Linked DNA regions of Tribolium castaneum. The protein of the gene in region 2 interacts with the protein of the main gene of each other region in a pairwise test. Links are inferred from orthologs where the notes say so. Each region holds a gene or a part of one and is shown on either strand. Other genes may lie near its edges.

Region 1 (3,822 bases), on a different chromosome or scaffold from region 2:
ATTTCACTCATCAAGAATTATTAATAAAATAAATAAAAAATATATTTGTTATTTTTTTTGAACACTTTAAAAAATATTGTAAATTTGCTATAAAAACCATTAAAAAAAATCCATTAAAAAAATATAATTTTGGTTCACCAGCCTGTATACAACACCCTGTGTACAATAAAAATATTTTTAGTTTATGGATTTTAAGTCGATCTATAAGATAACAAAACAGAATCGCAATATTTTAAATAATAAAAAAGTTATAGACCGATTACGCACCCCTGGGTCAGCCTGTACAGTTTATTATAAGATTTATTCAAAACATCTATATTAAATCATCTCTATTAATATTTTACTAAACAAGACTGTAATTCAGTTTTCAATGTTTGAGACTAAGACGGAAATGCAGCATCTAAAAACGACTCTGAAGACTTCTGTGACCCCCATGTCCCCCCCCTTTCTACAGTAATGAAGTGTTGGACCCCATAAATTCAGTTTATTATCAGATTTTCAAGTCACAAGACATTTTCTTTTAAAGCACATTTTGTTAAACGATTGTTTCTTTCCTGCCCTATAACTAGCTTATGGTTAGTCCCACAAAAAAATGCATTTAACTATTTTGTAGGAAATTTTATCAGTTTTAATTTTGGTAAGAAGAAAAAAATTGATAGGACGAACAGTTTCCGAGATATAAGCAAAAAAAAACAAAAAAAGACTGCTTTAACCCCCTCCCCCTCGACGAGCTCGCCTCAGGGACCCAAGTGTAAAGAAAGCTTTAAAAAAAACTCCATCTCTCTAGTAATTTTTTCCACCGATTTTTCTAATTTGACTGGGCTATTAATTTTCCAAACAATATTTTAAACAAACTGTAGAAGAACTGTAAAAGACTGGGTTGAAATAAAAACCGATCCACTAATAAAAATCACTTGGCTTTCTTTTTTTTTTCTCTTTTCAAACTTTCACGATATTACAACTTTGACTCACCAAGATCGGGAAAACTCGGAGGCGGCGGCAACCGTTCCAACGGCGACCCAACCGCCGGCACATCCGAATCAATACAGAAATACAGAAAGAAATACAAATTTATGACGGACGGGACAAAAAAACTCGTGTGTGAAAATAGCTCTAAAAAATTTTTTGAGACAGGTTTTAATTATTAAAGACTTTAAATATATTAAAATTAAATAGTGGAAATTAAGAATTCTTGATTTTTTTTAAAAACGTAAGAAATAAAAACAACATATTATGTTTGCGATTACGGACGGGGAAACAAAAATTATAAAGGTAAAAAAATGATATTAAAGCCGCACTTTTAAAATTTGAAACACGAGCCAAAGAAAAAGAATACAGAAAAAAATACAGAAACACAGAAAGAAATTCAAATTTACGACGGACGGGACAAAAAAATCTTGTGTGTGAAAATAGGTCTAAAAAATTTATTGAGACAGGTTTACATTATTAAAGACTTTAAAAATATAAAAATTAAACAGTGGAAATGAAAAATTCTTGGGTTTGTTTAAAAACGTAAGAAATAAGAACAACATATTATGTTTGCGATAACGGACCGGACATCAAATATTATAAAGGTAAAAAAAGTAATATTAAAGCCACACTTTTAAAATTTGAAATACGAGCCAAAAAAAAGAATACAGAAGAAAATAATAAAGAATAAAGAAAAAAATACAGAAATACAGAAACAAATACAAATTTATGACGGACGGAACAAAAAAACTCGTGTGTGAAAATAGCTCTAAAAAAATTATTGAGACAGGTTTTAATTATTAGACTTTAAAAATATTAAAATTAGAAGTGGAAATTAAAAATTCTTAGCTTTATTTAAAAACGTAAGAAATTAGAACAACATATTATGTTTGCGATAACGGACCGGACATCAAAAATTATAAAGGTAAAAAAATAATATTAAAGCCGCACTTTTAAAATTTGAAATACTCGGGGACTCAAGTGTAAAGAAAGCTTTAAAAAAACTCCATTCTCTAGTAATTTTTTCCACCGATTTTTCTAATTTGACTGGGCTATTAATTTTCCAAACAATATTTTAAACAAACTGTAGAAGAACTGTAAAAGACTGGGTTGAAATAAAAACCGATCCACTAATAAAAATCACTTGACTTTCTTTTTTTTTCTCTTCAAACTTTCACGATATTACTCACCAAGATCGGGAAAACTCGGAGGCGGCGGCAACGGTTCCAACGGCGACCCAACCGCCGGCACATCCGAATCAATACTCATCGGACTCTTTCCATCTTGACTCGGACTCGTTAAACTAAGACTAGTTCGTTGAGGACTCTTCTCCTTCCCATCCTCCTTATTATCTTTAAAGCTATTGCAACTGTCAGTCGACGGCTCTCTCTTCTTCAAACTCACACCAAACCTCGAACTCGCCTCCTCCACCGAAGGCTGCAGCGTACAAACATCACTATTCTCATTACTCAACTCCTCACTCCTCCCGACTGTTCTCTTCGTCGTAAGCGGCGAAATCGGAATCACTTTCTTCCTCAAATCGGCCATCACGACACCATCGGGCACATCAATCGGCCCGTCGAATTCTTCAGGCGGTGGCGGCAAATCGGTGGGAGGCGGCGGAAACTCCAGGTCGGCCAACGTCGGTTGCACGGACCTGGAGGGACTGCCGCCCCGGAAAGTGTTGTTTTGAGCCGCCCGGAAAGTCCGGAGACTGCTCCGGACGTCTCCGGTGTTGTTCCGCGAGATGTTCCGGGTGCGGGATAACTTCGAGGACGTGGGGGAGCTTGGAGGATGGGTTGCGTGGAAAGTGGTGACACCTCCGGAAGAGTTGCTCCGGATCATTTGGGGTTGGGTCCGAATGTTGGTCCGTGGTGATAGAGACCTGGGGGTGGTTTCCGTCGGTTCGGGTGTGTCTTCATTGGTTGACATTCCGCTCTGTTTTAAAGATTCAAGATATGCGCCGATTCGGGCGCCTTTCGGAAGAGTGCCATAACGACTGATTGCTTTTCGCACGTTTTGGACTTCGAGAGCCGCCACTTGGACCTAAAACACAGTTAAATGATTTGGAAATTATTTCATTGGGGGCTGGCGTACAGCAGGGGTTACGTCTTTTGTCTTAGTCTTTTTCCCTCTCTGTTCCAAGCCCCTGTTGCCCATAATGGGGGCTCGTTTGAATGAACCGGTGGTGCAACCTAGGTTGCTTACGGATGAGACTTCCGGGTAGGAGTGGGCACCGGAATCGTCCGTGTCGGGGGTTTGGTCTTGGAGGTCGCTTTCGCTGTCGCCTTTTGTGCTGGCGGTTAGGTTTTGGAGTTCACGGGTTAAACCTGGATCGAAAAAAGATTGTGAATGCATCACAAGAAAATAAAATAATTGTAGAAATTGATTAATAAATGACAGTTTTGACAATGATTGAAAACAAGCCCCCTAGAAAAAGCTTCTTTGATGGATAGTTTTTAAAATAGTATAAAAAATATGAATTTTCAAAATTATTATTTCTTTTGAATTCGTGACTTCTCTTGGCTATAAATTTGTCGTTAGGATTCTCTGTAACACAGAATTATTTTCTTATATAGAAACTTTCAATTTGTGCTCAATTTCACCCGAAAAAATGCAAATGCGCTGTTCCCATTTTCTACTAAGAACTGAGATGGGCTATAATTTCATTGATTAGTGTTATCAACCTTTCAGTATTTAGCCATTCCATTTTAACGGACAATTTGCACTATTTTTAGATTTTATTTTCAGTTTTTACGAACAGTATCAGTAGAAGTGATTTTTTTTCTTTTGAGGAACTTAGTACCAGCACAGGTACCAGTCAAATTTTTTGCAATCTACAATTAGAGCTAC
Region 2 (4,510 bases):
AATTTATATGCATGTTTGTATGACTTGGAGAAGATTATAATTACCGGACAATGGAAATTGTAATATACAAGGGTATTCCAAAGATATGGTGCCACACTTTAGGGAGGTTCTTGCGTGAGAAAACGTTTGTATACAACCCTTAGTCGAAAATATGCCGTTTCTCCCCTGGAGCCAGTTTGGTCCAAATACGAATTACTATTTTGTTCATATTAAAAGACTTCGATATTTATTAGCTAAAACATAGCTTATGGAAAGTTTTTGAGTTAGGTGTAATTTTATTTTTGATCGTAATACCTAGTAGCCTTTGATTTTAAGCCAATTTAATTTAAATAAAGAACATATAGATTCGTCATGGAAGGCGAGAGTCTAAAACTAGCATATTCTTCGTTTTAGGTTACATCATCCCGTTAATTTGAACTTTAAATTGTACCCCCCACTTTTTAAAACCACCCCTAACTCAAAAACAAATCTACAATTATGTGTTTTCTCTACAATTAGATTAGTTTTCCCTTCTTTCTAATATATTTTTTTTTCTAATAATGATTCAAAATGTAGAAGGCGGTATTTAAAATGTCAAAGGAGTGGCTAGCGACTAGGGAATGAAGCCTAAACATAAACATCTTTAATGTTGGTTTTGACCTCTACCTTTGCAAGTCAAATTGAATTGTTTGTTTGTTTAAATCAAATGGGCTTAAAATCAAAGGCTCCCAATGACTAAAAATTTCAAAATGCAAATCAACATTTTTTTACGGTTAGACAAGCTTTTTCTTTCTATTCCAAAAATTGAGTGTCATTTAAAATTTAAAAAAAGGGGTGACTAGCGTCTAGGGAATTGGGGGATGTTTTTAAGGGTTATTTTAAAGCCCTGATCTGCAAATTATTATTGGTTCTGCAAAATTGAAATTCCCCTCCTAGTGGTGTATCTGATTTTTTCACTGCACTGTTATCAAGCTAAACAACACTATTAACTAATAGTCATCACCACTGGGTTACAATCGTTACTTTTTATTAAAAACCACAAAAAACACGATGTAAACAACACGTTTGTAATCTTGTGACATATCAACGTGGCGGTTCTCCCACTCCTCCAAAGAGTTACGGCGCAACCATGTCTCTACTAATCATGAGATGAACTTGGTCGAAATTTTGATTAAACGGTTGATTATTTTAAATAATCTATATGTAAAATGAACATAGTAAAATACTGCTCTAAAATATTGTGATTATGCAACCGCCTTTACAGCTCTAGAGTGACAATATCGGATGAACAACTTTTCAAAAGACATCGATTGATAATTTTTAAACGCAAATGTGTTTTTCATCAATTTATTAATCTTTTTCGCAATCATGCGCCTAAATTGGTTACATTTTCGCCAATTTACAACAATTCTATCAAGAAAAAATCGGCCGGTAATAAAGAACTCTACCCTTTCACAACAAACCAATTTTCGCAAAATATACGGGCCCTTTGCACCACGTAGCCAAAACTTGTAACTAGCGGTAGGGGGCTGTTCGCGGGGCCGCGTCTTTGCGGGTTTAATGCCCCCTTATCCGTTGTCTTGATCTCTTTAATCCCCTTGGGTGGGGATGACTTTAATGATGTCGGCCATGTTGTGTTGAAGTGTTTTTCTCCTGTCAAATTGTGTAGTTTTTCGCGAAAATCGAGTGAAATAATGGATGAAACGAAAGTTATTTATCACATAGACGACGAGGAGACCCCCTATTTAGTAAAGATACCGATTTCGCCGGAAAAAGTGACCTTATCTGACTTTAAAAATGTGTTAAATCGCCCCAATTACAAATTCTTTTTCAAGTCGATGGACGATGATTTCGGGTAATTCTCTCGTGTGTTTCACCCTTCGGGTGATTAAAACGTAACAATTCGTTTGCAGAGTCGTTAAAGAGGAAATCATCGACGACAGCGCACATTTGCCGTGTTTTAACGGACGTGTTGTTAGTTGGGTACGTTTCTAGCTCGCTAGAGAAGGGGGCGCATTAATTGCCCTACAGTTAGTTTCAGCCGATGGCTCAAATCAATCGGATGGGGGCTCACAGTGCACTGACAGTGTCACACACCAGTCGGAACGTGTGCCCCCCCAAGCCCCCGAATCAATCTGCACCGACACTGAAAGTATCATTAGTTCGAGACAGGGAAGGCGCCACCACAAATACTCATCACGAATTAACGGACACCTTCCACGGTACTGTTTTCACTTATATTTATAAGTCTGTGGTAAATAATCCCAATTTTAGAGTTTACGAAACCGCTTCAATTGTCAGTTCCGATTTAGAGACCACAAGTTTTCAGTCTGAGACAACCGGAAGACACACGGCCCTCTCAGAATGCTCCAGTGTGAGTCGGTTACATGTCGCGGGGCGCAAAAGACCGCAAAGACGACGAAAACAACGAATGCAAGCAATGTCACGAACATCCTCATATTCCAGCATCACAGATTCGACAATGTCCTTGAATATTATAACAGTGACCTTGAATATGGACACGGTTAATTTTCTAGGAATTTCAATTGTGGGGCAAAGCAATAAAGGGGGCGACGGTGGCATTTACGTCGGATCCATTATGAAAGGGTACATCACAATTTTATTTTGTGTGTCTCATTAATTTGATGTAAATTTTTATAGGGGGGCTGTCGCCCTTGATGGTAGAATAGAACCAGGCGACATGATTTTGCAAGTCAATGACGTTAATTTTGAAAATATGTCAAATGATGAGGCGGTTAGGGTTTTGCGAGAAGTGGTCCAAAAACCAGGGTTGGTATCAGAAAAATATAAGCCCAATTTTTTTATTCAATTTTCAGACCGATCAAGCTGGTTGTGGCGAAGTGCTGGGATCCCAACCCCAAAGGCTACTTCACTATACCTAGAACTGAACCAGTGAGGCCTATCGACCCAGGTAATTAAATCACTATACAGTGGAGTCTGCTTATAACGAACTTCCGGCTATAATGTACTATTTTTCAAGCACCAAAAAAAATCATTCCATGAAGGCATTGGCAACTTATTTTTCGTATTTTATGTTTCAACGGAAATTGAAAATATCTTTAGGTTCTATTTAAATTTTTTCGCGATGAGAAATAAGCGAGATAATCGCTTTGAAAGGAAGAAATCATGACGTCACAACGTAACACTGAACCCTCCAATCACCAAAAACTTTTTTGAGAAATTGAGATTTGAGAAATCTTTATAAACTCTGACAGTGTCACCTAAAAGTCAAAAACCATTTGATCTTTATATCGGACCAAATGCTGGAGACGGTTACGACATCATGATTTCTAATTTAAATCGAAATAACTTGAGTTAAAGAGCAGTTACAGAGAAACGGTTTTCACTATTGTAATAAGTGTTTAGTCTTCACTTAAGACAAAGTTGTTTTTTAAGTTGCCAATGCCTTAAAGCTCAATGTATTTTTTACCGCTTATAACGAACTAAATTTGACTTAAAATCTGACGCAATTTTCTGTTTATAACGAACTTTTGAGGAATATGTTGGGGTTGATAATGACAAAGCCGCAAGAGAAGTGTTAACTGATAAACAGATTATTGACTTACTAACTAAAAACATTTTAATAATTAAAAACATGTGTTTGTAAACATAACTACGGTGCGAATTTGCTAGTTGTGCAAATATTTCTTGATAAAGCTCAAGGAAGTCAAAATAAATTAACTTATTTTATCCAAACTTTTATTACTTCTACTAGTTTTTGAGATATAGAGAGTACAACCTCCACTTCAGCGTCTAAAATTAAGGACGCTTTTTCCAAAGTTGACTTTACTAATTGGTGGTGACATATGAGCAAATGAAATTCTGTAATATCTTCGCCACAAAAAAAATTGGTACAAAATTTTTACATTTTTATAATTATTTACGAGATGACTTGTTTTTCTGTAGCTGTTTTTGCTAATTTAAACTTAGTGTACTAGATATTGAAGAACTAAACTCTTAACTAAGGAACACTCAGAATTCATAATTTTTGGTTTTATAAAGTTTACTTTAAACGCAAATAACTCGAGAACGGTACATTTTAGCGATATGCAACAAGTGTCCCTTTTCTAAAGAAAAATGAATGGGCTTTCAATTTTTGGTATAAAAGAAGTGGGTGAAAAATCAAGTTATGGTCAAAAAACTGGAAGGGACGCATTGCAATCGGAAATGTACAACTTCCGTGTACATCACATTAAAGAGCGTCTTTTACATCACATTAAAGAGCGTCTTTTCGTCTCTTACATTGTCAAGTTTAATAATTGGATAATCAATAAGGAAGATATTCTCCAAAAATTATTTTTCATACCGACTTTTTGGAAAGCTGTAATTTTTCTATTAAGTGAGACAGGCCAACAAAAACCATTAGATTTATTATCATTTGTAGAGGAATTTTTGTGATTCAAATTATGCAACAACATTTTGAATCAACCTCTATTACTGTTTCCCAAAGGATTCATGTTTTTTTTACAATAAGTACTTATTTATTTCGTTTTATTTCATATGTAAAATA

Evidence for each region.
Region 1: the proteins of dsh (region 2) and Abl interact in binary tests that used the Drosophila melanogaster proteins (3 or more experiments, as listed by UniProt). The link is inferred for Tribolium castaneum from reciprocal best matches to the Drosophila melanogaster genes dsh and Abl.

Annotation. Positions count from the first base shown.
Region 1 is NC_087394.1:5,634,144-5,637,965, reverse strand, and holds part of Abl (tyrosine-protein kinase Abl), read right to left. Parts: intron 3,300-3,822; coding exon 3,067-3,299; intron 3,016-3,066; coding exon 2,160-3,015; intron 1-2,159. UniProt on the Drosophila melanogaster protein: Arm and Abl proteins function cooperatively at adherens junctions in both the CNS and epidermis; critical for embryonic epithelial morphogenesis regulating cell shape changes and cell migration.
Region 2 is NC_087401.1:8,564,920-8,569,429, forward strand, and holds the start of dsh (segment polarity protein dishevelled homolog DVL-3), read left to right. Parts: upstream 1-1,440; 5' UTR 1,441-1,673; coding exon 1,674-1,834; intron 1,835-1,892; coding exon 1,893-1,962; intron 1,963-2,010; coding exon 2,011-2,201; intron 2,202-2,253; coding exon 2,254-2,586; intron 2,587-2,640; coding exon 2,641-2,769; intron 2,770-2,816; coding exon 2,817-2,911; intron 2,912-4,510.